Linked DNA regions of Macaca mulatta. The protein of the gene in region 3 purifies or fractionates together with the protein of the main gene of each other region. This does not show direct contact. Links are inferred from orthologs where the notes say so. Each region holds a gene or a part of one and is shown on either strand. Other genes may lie near its edges.

Region 1 (4,109 bases), on a different chromosome or scaffold from region 3:
AGGGACCACCAGGAGGAATGGAAATTTACCTTCAGAAAAAAGCTGACAGCACTTGTTGTGGCCTGAACTATCCTCCCAAAATTTATATGATGCAGCCCTAACCCCCAGGACCTCAGAATGTGACTGTATTTGGAAGCAGGACCTTTAAAAAATGTGATTAAGTTAAAATGAGGCCCTTAGGGTAGGCTTTAATCCACTCTGACTGTGTCCTTACAAGAAGAGGACATTTGGACATGCCAAGAGGAAAGACCACGTGAGAACGCAGTGAGAAAGTGCCTTCCACAAGCCAAGGACAGAGACCTCAGGAGAAAACAAACCTGCCAACACCTTGATCTTGGACTTTTAGCCTCTAGATCTGTGAGAAAATTAAGTTCTGTTGTTTAAGCCAGGGGTCCGCAACTCCCGGGCCATGGACAAGTACTGGTCTGTGGCCTGTTAGGAACCAGGCCACACAGCAGGGAGAGAGAGAGCGCGAAGCTTCATCCATATTTACAGCTGCTCCCAATCATTCACATGACCACCTGAGCTCCGCCTCCTGTCAGATCAGCAGCAGCATTAGATTCTCATAGGAGCACGAACCCTATTGTGAACTGCACATGTGAGGGATCTAGGTTGCATGCTCCTTATGAGAATCTAATGCCTGATGATCTGTCATTGTCTCCCATCACCCCCATAGGGGACTGTCTAGTGCAGGAAAACAAGCTCAGGGCTCCCACTGATTCTACACTGTGGTGAACTGTATAATTATTTCATTATATATTATAATGTAATAATAATAGAAATAAGGTTCTCAATAAATGTAATGCGCTTGAATCATCCTGAAACCATCCCCACCTTGGTCTGTGGAAAAAAGTGTCTTTTACAAAACTGGTCTCTGATACCAAAAAAACTGGGGACTGCTGGTTTAAGCCACTCAGTCTGTGATATTTTGTCATGGCAGCCCCAGCAAACTAATATGGCACTGCTTAGATGCCAGGGAACTAAGAAGGAGTCTTATTAGGTAACCAGCTTCAAGGGACCAGCAACTCAGAGATCCCCAAAGATGAGAAATAATGGCGCTCTCTGAACTATCCACAAGACTGTGCCAAGAGAGAAAGAACTAGGTTTACACACCCACCAGAACCTGCCAGTGAAATGCCAGCTTGTCATAGCATTAACCATGTAAGGACTTCCAGCTCCTTTCCTGCCTCCTCTCTTCTCCCTTCACCCTTCACCCTGCCAGGAGTCAGAATCCTCAGTAAGCCAGAGGAGAGAAGGATGGAAACTTAATGTGGGAAATGAGAAGCCATCCATAGACCCCCTTTCCAAGCTGCAGGCCCCACTAGAGAAGGGAGAGAAGTCTCCACTAGGAACCAAATTCGAAGATCTGGCTGATTCCCTGGGACTGGACATCCCAATTGCTGAATGAGGCTGTGCTGGAACTAAAAGTGACTTAAGAACTTTTGATTCCTGAAGGGGGCCCAGAAGAGTTGTGGACCTGCTTTAATTTTCATCCCAGGGCAAGGGAAGAGTGAGGACCCACTGAAAAAAATTAGGAACAATGATAGGCAAAAATAAAGTTTGCTTTCATAATATACCATGAGTCCTGTATATTTCACGTATGTTCTTCTACACATGAGGCAACTTAGCCTGGTCTCTGGCCAAAAAAGAGATACCACTCATTGAGCAATTCTTATCCTTTCAAATTCCTTCACTGTCATCATTGAGCAATTCCATCTTCTTCAAGCAAGACTAGCTGATGCCAATAGAAAAATCATTTAAAACAAACAAACAAAAAAAAATCCTTAAGCTTTCAACTTGGGTGCAGATGTTCTATGAAGCCAGAAACTGAATGTCATCCTCTATACCCCATGACCTAGAGAAGCAGACTAACTCCAGACCAGCAGGGCTGGGCAGGACTAAGATTCCCACAATACTTAAGAGAAAACTGAGTTCAAATCCAGGCTCTGCCATTTAACAACTGTGTGACCCCGGGTGAATGACTTAAATTCTCTGTACTTCAATTTCCTCATCCATAAAATAGAGATCATAAAGTATCCATCTGATGAAATAGCTGCAAAACACTTAGAACGCTGCCTGGCACAGGGCAAAGGACTCACAATACACATAGCTATCATTATACATCATTGCCTCTCAAAATGAAATCTTGTGATGACCTTGGTTTATTAGCACAACGTTGTTTAAAAAAAAAAAAAAAAAAAAAAAAAAGCTTTACAAGGGGCATGATGATGAAAGGCGCAGATGAACCAGACTGCCTGGGTTTGAATGAAGCAAGAATCTGAGGCACGTTGCATAAGGGTTTGCTATCATTACTGATCATTCAGTGAGAGACATACAGTAATAGGTATACATATGCAGTACATAGAGAAAGAGCTTAGTACTAGCGGCTATTATTAAGGCAACAGTCACCTCAATAAATCTACATGGGCCATGAAGACCCTGGTCACCCAGAGATATCAGAGGCACTGAACAGGGCCAGCCAGCCAGCGGGCATTTTCCTAATTGGGAGGCTGCTGAACTTGACCTCTGTTGCTTTTCATTATTTATTTAACAGCATATGGTGGCTCTCAAGAAAATAGGATGTCTTGAAGCCAGAAACCCATCCTCCTTGGGCTGGATACTCAGCCATCCCCTGCAGCCCCACCCCCTAGCCCCAACCTCTCATTGTCTCTCTTGTGTTACCTGATCCAGTTTCTTCTTCCAGGGCAGGTTCCACCTTGCTGGGGAGAGGTGAAGAACCATGGCCTTCCAGCCTCCCGAAAAGGGAATGTTCCAATGGGCCCAGAGCTCTCTGGGCCCGCTCGCCACTCACTCACCTGGGGCCTGAAGACTGACAGAGAAGCAGGCAGAAAATATGAAAAGCTGATACCCACTGCAGGAAATCATTGTTTAGCCAATTCCAGACTAAAAAAACAAGTGCAACATCGGAGAAAGGAGGGCAAAGTGTCATTCGGGGCCATTGTTACAGCCGCTGCTCTGTGTGGTGGGGAAACAAAGCAGGCCTGTGTATGTGAGGACAATGCTGTTGTGTTACTAACTGCTTCTGTGTTACTCCTGGGGACAGGAGGATGAGAAATGAGGGCACGATGTCTTCCCTGGTGGACTTCACTCATCAGAGTAGCCAGGTCAATCAGAGCTGGGAGAGGCATTTTGGACATTCAGCCCATGGCATGATGTAATAGGGGTCAGGGGACATGCCTTCAGGTGTGACCACCTGCCTATTTGCTAGTCTTCTATACATGAGAGATCACAAATGTCCCTCTCCTCTTCTCTTACTTGCTTTCAGAAACTTACCCCAAGTTAGAGCTGAAAAGAATGAGACATATCATTTCTCCAAACACAAATGTCATCTACTTCAACTCTTCAACTCCTAACTTTTGTTATGGGACATCTGGCCGGGACTAATCCCCAGCCACTCAGCACGTTAGCAGCAGCTGGCAAGATTAGATGAATATTATAAAGCTTGCACCCACTGAATCCCCATAATGAACAAGACACTAGGTCATGAGCAACCTTGCAAAATGACCTCACTTGCTCCTGACTTCAAATTCTGGCTCTGCAACTATTACCCATGGACTGTGAGTAAGTGTTTTCTCTGGGGGTTAGTTTTCCCATCTGTAAACTAGGATGACTGGGTTCCTATGAGGATTAAATGAATTAATATATGCAAAACTCTTAGGAACAGGGGCTGGCCCATAAAAGTGATCAAGAACCATAAATCACAAATTAGATGCCCACATTACCCCTGAAACTTGCTTGCACTCACTCATCAGGAGATGGTATGCAGATGGCTGGAAAACCAGGATCCCAAGTGTCTGTATTTAGCCCTGCTACCTATTATGGCCTAAGTTCACCGTGTTAGGTCCCTGAAGGAATTGGGCACTAATAAATATTCTCAAGTATGAGACAGGCGACAAATGTGTGGAGATGGCCCATTGTGATGCAACAGTGTATGGTGGGAACTGTGGAGATTTGGAAAGCTCACACCAGTCTTCAGGGGGCAGCCAGGGCTCAGCCCCAGCCAACTGCAGCAACGCAGAAAGGTGGAAACAGCATGGTTGGGCCGGCAAATTTTTAAACAAAAGCCAGAAGAGTGGATTTTTATGTCA
Region 2 (3,653 bases), on a different chromosome or scaffold from region 3:
GGGACCAGCCCTGAAAATAAAGGGCAGTGTACAACAATGAGGCCTTGGGTGTGTCAGAGACAGACATGGTACTCAGAAGATGAAGGTCCTGATCTACCTGTCTAGTTGACCTTTTGTTGCTACAGATTTCTTTGCTACAGAATATTTATCTGAAAAAAAAAAAATTAAAATACTATACCTGCAGGGTAATTCCACATGCTATTCCTGTTAACTAAGAACAAGGTTTTTTCACTGTACCTACTTCTTTCACAGGACCAAAAGCTAGTCTAACATTCTTTAGCTTATTGAATAAAGTTTTTTTTTTTTTTAAATATTAACATTTCTGAAATTGGAATGCATCTAAAAAAATCTATGGTGTCTCAGATTTGATGAAATATAGTATGTGGTAACATTTGGACATTTCATTTAAAAAGCATGAACTAGCTAAACAAGCAAACGGTGTACAATGAACTCTCTAAAATATCCTGACTAAAATAAAGCTGAAATGCCTCTTCCTATGGATCAATATTAGAGAGTCCCCTTAAAATTGAGAAATATCCTAGATAGTAAGCAAAGAATATTCAAGTATTCCAAAACGTTGGAAAAAACGAGCCCTACCACAGAAAAAGTAAATCTTACTCTGAACTACCTTCTGATGAGAAATAAGCCTTTTCATACAAAATAAGCATTTTGGAGGTTTTTCTACAGTGATGATAAAACTATTGCTAATAGTGTAATTTTCAATCATGTATTTTCTTATAAAAATATTAAATCAGTGAAATCATGTGATATGAAATCAGAATGATATATGCTGTTCACACTATATGCATGTGCTAGCATGGCAACACACAACCATATTCCTACCTCTTTGGCTTAATCAGAGATGATAAAAATATTTAAATTTTTTTTAAGGCTATATAAGTGTCTGAGTTTTATTTTCACCTCTTATTGATGGAAAGATTTCCTTTTAAAAGGATGGGACAAAATTAAAAATTCAGAATTCTGAGGGCATGCATAGGAAAAAATAAAAATTAATTAACATTTTACAAACCATCATGAACCAGAGGCAAAATAACTCAGGGGGGTGGGGTAGGAATAATCCTTGGGGAAAAGGTAAGTTTAATCAACAAATGACTATGAAAATGAAAACTTAAAAAAATTCTTTGTAATTGCAGTGGCTTATAACATTTTAATAACAATAAAATATAATTTTCATTCCTCTAACCCAGATTCTTTAGTACCATTGACATTCTGGGCTGGATAATTCTTTGGCATGGAGATCGTCCTTTATATTCCCTCTACTTACTAGATACCAGCAGTGTCCTGTGCCCTCATCCCCTCAGTTACAAAAATGAAAAATGTCTTGAGACACTTTTGTCTCAACCAGGGGAAAAACTAATCCCTGTTGAGAGCAAGGCTCAAATCTTTCAGTTACCAACCAAAAAAAGGTTATCCTAGTTTTTCAGAAATCACCTGAAGGGTAGAAAATGATTTTAAAAATCCATTTAAAAGCAATAGTGCTCCAAGTTACTTTTCTAGCTACAGAAGAAAAAAATAGACACATTTATCTCATATTCATCTAGGTATTTAAAATATTAGGGTTTATAAAGTGAACACTTTAAAATCTGAAACACTAAAAGTCAAATAAAGTATCATCTTTATCAACCATTATTCCCTTATGCATTGATTAAATACCTAACCATTCATGCAGCCAGAGGTAGGCTAGTAGATTCATTTTACATTAGTATGGAGGCTAACATCATATCTTCACTTTACATAATTTATATTATTTATTTACAATGAATAACTGAGTGAGAACTTAATCCTTGCCATTTATTTTGCTAAACACTTGATTTATATGCATTATCTTACTGGAAGAAGAGATAAATCAATGTAATATCACTATCTTAGGTTATAAAATTCATAATATTCAGGGTTTGGTTGTAACCAATCTTCCCTGTAAATGTCCAAAAAATATAAATACTATTAAAATATAGTAATCAGGATTCAAGTACGGTAAGCCATATACAAGCATGGCACTGAAGAAAAGAAGCTGTATTAACTCTAGCTAGCATGGTTCTTAAATTACTCTTAAATGCCTAACTTACAAGCAATGCAGTTTAGAAAACTAGACAACCCAGAAATTCAAACAAAGGAGAAGAGGAAGGTCAGTCTTATTATTTAAAAAGCAATTTAAAAAAAATGTCAGTGCACAGTTACACAAATAAGTATTGGACTTCCTCAATTATGACACTCAAAAATTGAGTTCCCTTGTTTTTAACAGCATTTTAAAATTGAAATATACATCACATAACATTCACCATTTTAAAGTGTATACTTCAGTGCTTCCCAGTATATTCACTCTGTTGTGCAACCATCGCCACTATCCAATTCCAGAACATTCCATCACCCCAAAATGAAAATCTGTACTTACTGGCAGTTAGTCCTTCTCCTCCCCCCATTGCCAGGCAACCATTAATCTACTTTCTGTCTCTGTGGATTTGCCTATTCTGGACATTTTATATAAAGAGAATCAACATGTGGTCTTTTGTGTTTGGCTTCTTTCACTTGGCAGAATGATTTCAAGGTTCATCCATAGTATAGTATGTAAAAGTGCTTCCTTCTTTTTTTAATGGATGATTAATCCCTTATTTTGCAGCAATTAAGTGAGGCATCTCAAGTACTATGTTCAGATATGTCACCTGAAACATTTTCAGCCATTCCTGGAGGCCTGTAGGTGGCTGGACAGATGTAATTCGGCGTCGTTGTTGCCCTTGGCCATTGGCTGCTCTGAGGTCCCCAAAAGTTGTTGGTGTTGCTGAACATGGTACAAGCCCAGTGGTACTACAAAAAAAAAAAAAAAAAAAAAAAAGGAGAGGAAGGAAAAAAGGAAAAAAGCAAGAGTGAAAGCAAAAATAGATGCTTATTAATAATAGATTCTAGTACAAAGAATGATGATCTGGCATATTTCAATCATCAATTCAGTTAATTACATTTCTTCCCAGAGATCACAGGTAAACAAAACCTATTTGCGGTTCTTACAGTAAGTTTCCTCCCTCCTACGTAACACCTGCTATTATCGCAGAAATGCTAATTGCAACCAAATAACAGAATCTCCATGACAAAACTGCAAGTTGTTAATATATACAAATAATGTGAAAATATTTCCTTAGAACATACAAGTCCCACTTCTTCTATGACTGGTCTTCAGTGACATAAATAAAAGTTTAAATTTTCTTTATACAAAGGGTTGTGATACTTTATTAATGCTTTAAAAAACTCATACATAGAAATACTATGTTCAAATGTTTTGAATTTCAAGAATCACATTATTCCTTAAGTTTGCCCCAGATGCCTATAATATTTCCAATTTTTTTATTGCTATTTATAAAGCTTGGTCTGAATAGTTGACAGAACTCAGTCTTGATTAGAAATACATTTATTCAAAACAGGTATTAAGAACTTATATACAAAACTAAATAAGATCATCTAAACATTTTTATACAGTAATTTAAATTTTGAGATTTAACAGTCTCAAACAAACTTGAAATTCAATTCTGCCACCAGTAAAATGAGGATGACTAGATGATCTCTCTAAAATTGTCTAACTACCCTAAAAATGATCAATTAACAGCAGAAAGAATACAGATATATAACTATATTATGAATGTATT
Region 3 (3,653 bases):
GTGCCACTTTTCCAATTGTTTTGCTACATAACCTCTTTCATTCAGATAGGAAAACCCTTTTGGAATGGAGAGAAATCTGCAAATTAAAACAAGCAATAGTTTTAACATTGCGTCTGGCAAAAAAAGTGTCTTAAGAAGCTAAAATAATTAAAATTTTAAAAAGTATAAGGAGCTAAAAGACTATAGGAACAGTTCCTTCATAAAACTAAAAGGTCAACTATAATTTATTATAACTTCAATTACAAATAAATTTTCACAATCTTTGCAACAACACAAGAATCCAATCACAATAAAGAAAATGTCAGCCAGGCACGGTGGCTCAGGCCTGTAATTCCAGCACTGTGGGAGGCCAAGGTGAGTGGATCACCTGAGGTCAAGAGTTTGAGACCAGCCTGGCCAACATGGTGAAACTCTGTCTCTACTAAAAATACAAGAAATCAGCTGGGTGTGGTGGCGTGAGCCTTTAGTCCCAGTTACTCAGGAGGCTGAGGCAGGAGAATCACTTGAACTTGGGAGGCAGTAAATGTTGCATCGAGCCAAGATTGGACCATTGCACTCTAGCCTGAATGACAAAGTGAGGCTCTGTCTCAAAAAAAAAAGGAAAATGTCATGAAAAGTACGAACAGACCAATTAAAAAAAAAAAAAAAAAAAAAAAAAAAACCCAAAACAATGAAAAGACAATGTTTCAATATTAAAGGATGTACAAGGTCTAAAACAGGTTTATTTCAGATGTTAAAAGGTAAACTCTTTAGGGTACTTCCTATTTGGATTTGAATTTATCTTTAATATACACTGCCAAAGAACACAACAAAAAAACATAACTGAAAATTTACTTAAAATTTACCTCAGGAGGAGAAGCAAACCCTTGTCTCCAAGGTGGGATAAAGCTGGTTTCATCTGAATGAGAGCATGAAGATTGGCCTAAAAGAGATTATCATTATTTTTAATAATTGCACAAAAATAGAAAATTTTTTAGTTCCAAAATGCCTATTATATACTTTTACAAAACTGTCAAATAAGTATTTCAAAAAAATTTAAGTATTAAATTATAAAAAATGAACATTTACCTTGTCTTCACATGCTTCATCGAGGATATCAAGAGCTTCAGAAGAAATCGTTTTGTTTTTATCATGTAGCTGGGTCACTAACAACTCAATTCCCCAATTATTAAAGAATTCAACATTAGCTCTCAATAATACCCTTAAATGTTTTGTTGCATAGAGCCTGCAGGCCTATAAAGATAAATGAATACATTTAAAAAAAAAAAAATCCTTCACCATAAATAACCTATTTGATTTTATTTTGGGAGAGTCCTGCTACTTGAAAAGGGAAGAATGACTGGAATTGGTGGTCTAGCCCTTGATATGAATACTTTTGTGGTTCTTGTAAAATAAAATACTTCCCTTTCTATCTAGCAGCTTCTCTGTGATATAAAAATATGAGTACTATATGGAGTTCCTTGGAGAAACTAAAATTTTAAAGTAAACTCAATTTCCATATCATATTCTTAGAATTTAAAATTAATTTTACTTAGCCCAAAATTCATAAAGTAGCAAATTAATTGTTTATAGAAATAGTTTTACTGGCTATATTATACTCACATCAGTAGCTGCAGTTAAAATTTTGGAAAGGATGACTCTAGCCAATCCATCTCTGCTATAGTCCAAGCTGGAAACAGTAAGTTTTAGCAAGTGATCTTGGTTTTTCAAGGAGCAAAGATTAAGGAGACTTAAAAAAAAAAATAAGAAGAAAGGTTAAAAGAAATTACTATATTGATGCATTAAACAAATATTTTTTCCAGCTTTACTGAAGTATAAATGACAAATAAAAATTGTATTATTCAAGGTGTACAACTTGATTTGATATACACATACATTGTGAAAATTACCACAATCAATGAACATATCAATCATCACACATAGTTACTATTTTGAATGCTGGAGTGGGAAGAGCATAAAGACAGTTCAATGTATATTTTAAAAATTCCTAATATAAACAAGCTTTTTGGAAAGAAAGCATTTAATAACAAGTATCATGTAAAAAAGAATATTAAAGCAAAGATAATGCTAATTTAAAACAAAACTTAACCAAACACATGTACACAGACTAAAAAGCATACCATATCTAACTACATTAAAAATAAAGTTTATGTATATATTGCAACAAAATTTAGGAACGCTCACCATTGAAATACACTGCATTTTTCCAGCATTTTAACTCCATGAGGGTGGCAAGAAAGTGTTCCAATAAATAAAAAGTAGTGTTGACTAAGGGTGGTCAATAAACCATTATTTTGAAGACTTCTTTCAGGTTTCATTCCAGAGGAAGCATTGAGCCACTGAACAATATCCTTTACTAGATCTTCTAAGTAACCTTGCCCATCCTAAAAGTAAATACATTGTGATACTGTGAGAAAAGCATTCAAAATCTGTAATTAGAAAATCGACTTCAATCAAGTACAAAAACTTAATAATGATGAAGTTACCAATAGCAGCTATCAATCAGTGAGTACCTGCTGTTTTTTAATCTGCTTCAACACAATGCTGCATGGAGATGATATTATTCTCCATTTTATGGAAGAGTAAACCAGGTCTTCCAGAGGGCAGATAACTTGCCCAGTCTCACAACTAGTGACTAAGTCCGGATTCAACCCTAGGTCTGGGATCATTTCCTGTGTTTCCAAATACAGCTTATGCATATTCAGAAATGAAAGCAAAACAGAAGGTGGAAACAGAGGGAGGGGAAGCGAAGCAAATTCAATAGAAAACATTTGCTCTGGAAAATATTCAGAAGCTCACCTCTTCAGATTCAAGAAGAAATTCTGTAAACTGGCAACCTACAACTGTGAGCTGTTTGGCCTTGGCAAAATCCAGATCCAGGTTGGCATATAATTTACTGCTGGGCTTGTAAAAATAAAGTAGTCTTCGTACAAACCTAAAATCAAAACACAAGTAGCAACAAGGTAAGAAATGAAGCAATTATTTTAGAATCTTAACCTTTGCTCATGACATAATAAGGCTTTCAGAATATGTTTTGGGTCTGACCCATTGGGATAAATGGCAAGAGATGTATCAAAAGTGTTTGGTACATGATATGATTTGGCTGTGCCCCCACCCAAATCTCACCTTGAACTGTAGTTCCCATAATCCCCACATGTCATGAAAGGGACCTCATGAGAGGAGATAAGATTATGGGGGCGGTTACCCTCAAGCTGTTCTCGTGACAGTGAGTGAGTTCTCACATCCGATGGTTTCATCAGCAGCTTTTCCCCCTATGCTCTGTACTTCCCTCTCCTGCTGCCATATGAAGAAGGATATGTTTGCTTCCCCTTCTGCTACAATTATGTTTCCTGAGGCCTCCCTAGCCATGTGGAATTGTGAGTCAATTAAATCTCTTTCCTTTATAGAAATTATCCAGTCTCAGGCGTTATTTATAGCAGCATTTCATACCAAAAAAAAAAAACCCCAAAAACCAAACAAACAAAAAAACCTTCATTTTAAAAAATATCTCTGTGGAGTAAGAATTTTATGATGAGATGGTTAGAAGAAATAAAGTAGAAGAAAGATGCTGGCCGGATGAATGAAGATTTAATGTAGCTAGAATATAAAACTGGATAAATGAGGATGTCACCTGAACTTAAATTTTCTTCTAT

The links.
Region 1: the proteins of RICTOR (region 3) and PRR5L purify together in Homo sapiens (affinity purification with western blotting; 3 studies listed by BioGRID and IntAct, with this or other methods). This does not show direct contact. The link is inferred for Macaca mulatta from reciprocal best matches to the Homo sapiens genes RICTOR and PRR5L.
Region 2: the proteins of RICTOR (region 3) and FBXW7 purify together in Homo sapiens (affinity purification with western blotting; 3 studies listed by BioGRID, with this or other methods). This does not show direct contact. The link is inferred for Macaca mulatta from reciprocal best matches to the Homo sapiens genes RICTOR and FBXW7.

The regions. Positions count from the first base shown.
Region 1 is NC_133419.1:28,983,267-28,987,375, forward strand, and holds the start of PRR5L (proline-rich protein 5-like), read right to left. Parts: upstream 2,907-4,109; 5' UTR 1-2,906. UniProt on the Homo sapiens protein: Associates with the mTORC2 complex that regulates cellular processes including survival and organization of the cytoskeleton.
Region 2 is NC_133410.1:160,943,430-160,947,082, forward strand, and holds part of FBXW7 (F-box/WD repeat-containing protein 7), read right to left. Parts: intron 2,824-3,653; coding exon 2,682-2,823; intron 1-2,681. UniProt on the Homo sapiens protein: Substrate recognition component of a SCF (SKP1-CUL1-F-box protein) E3 ubiquitin-protein ligase complex which mediates the ubiquitination and subsequent proteasomal degradation of target proteins.
Region 3 is NC_133411.1:40,050,448-40,054,100, forward strand, and holds part of RICTOR (rapamycin-insensitive companion of mTOR), read right to left. Parts: intron 2,936-3,653; coding exon 2,800-2,935; intron 2,385-2,799; coding exon 2,185-2,384; intron 1,730-2,184; coding exon 1,603-1,729; intron 1,234-1,602; coding exon 1,069-1,233; intron 923-1,068; coding exon 846-922; intron 77-845; coding exon 1-76. UniProt on the Homo sapiens protein: Component of the mechanistic target of rapamycin complex 2 (mTORC2), which transduces signals from growth factors to pathways involved in proliferation, cytoskeletal organization, lipogenesis and anabolic output.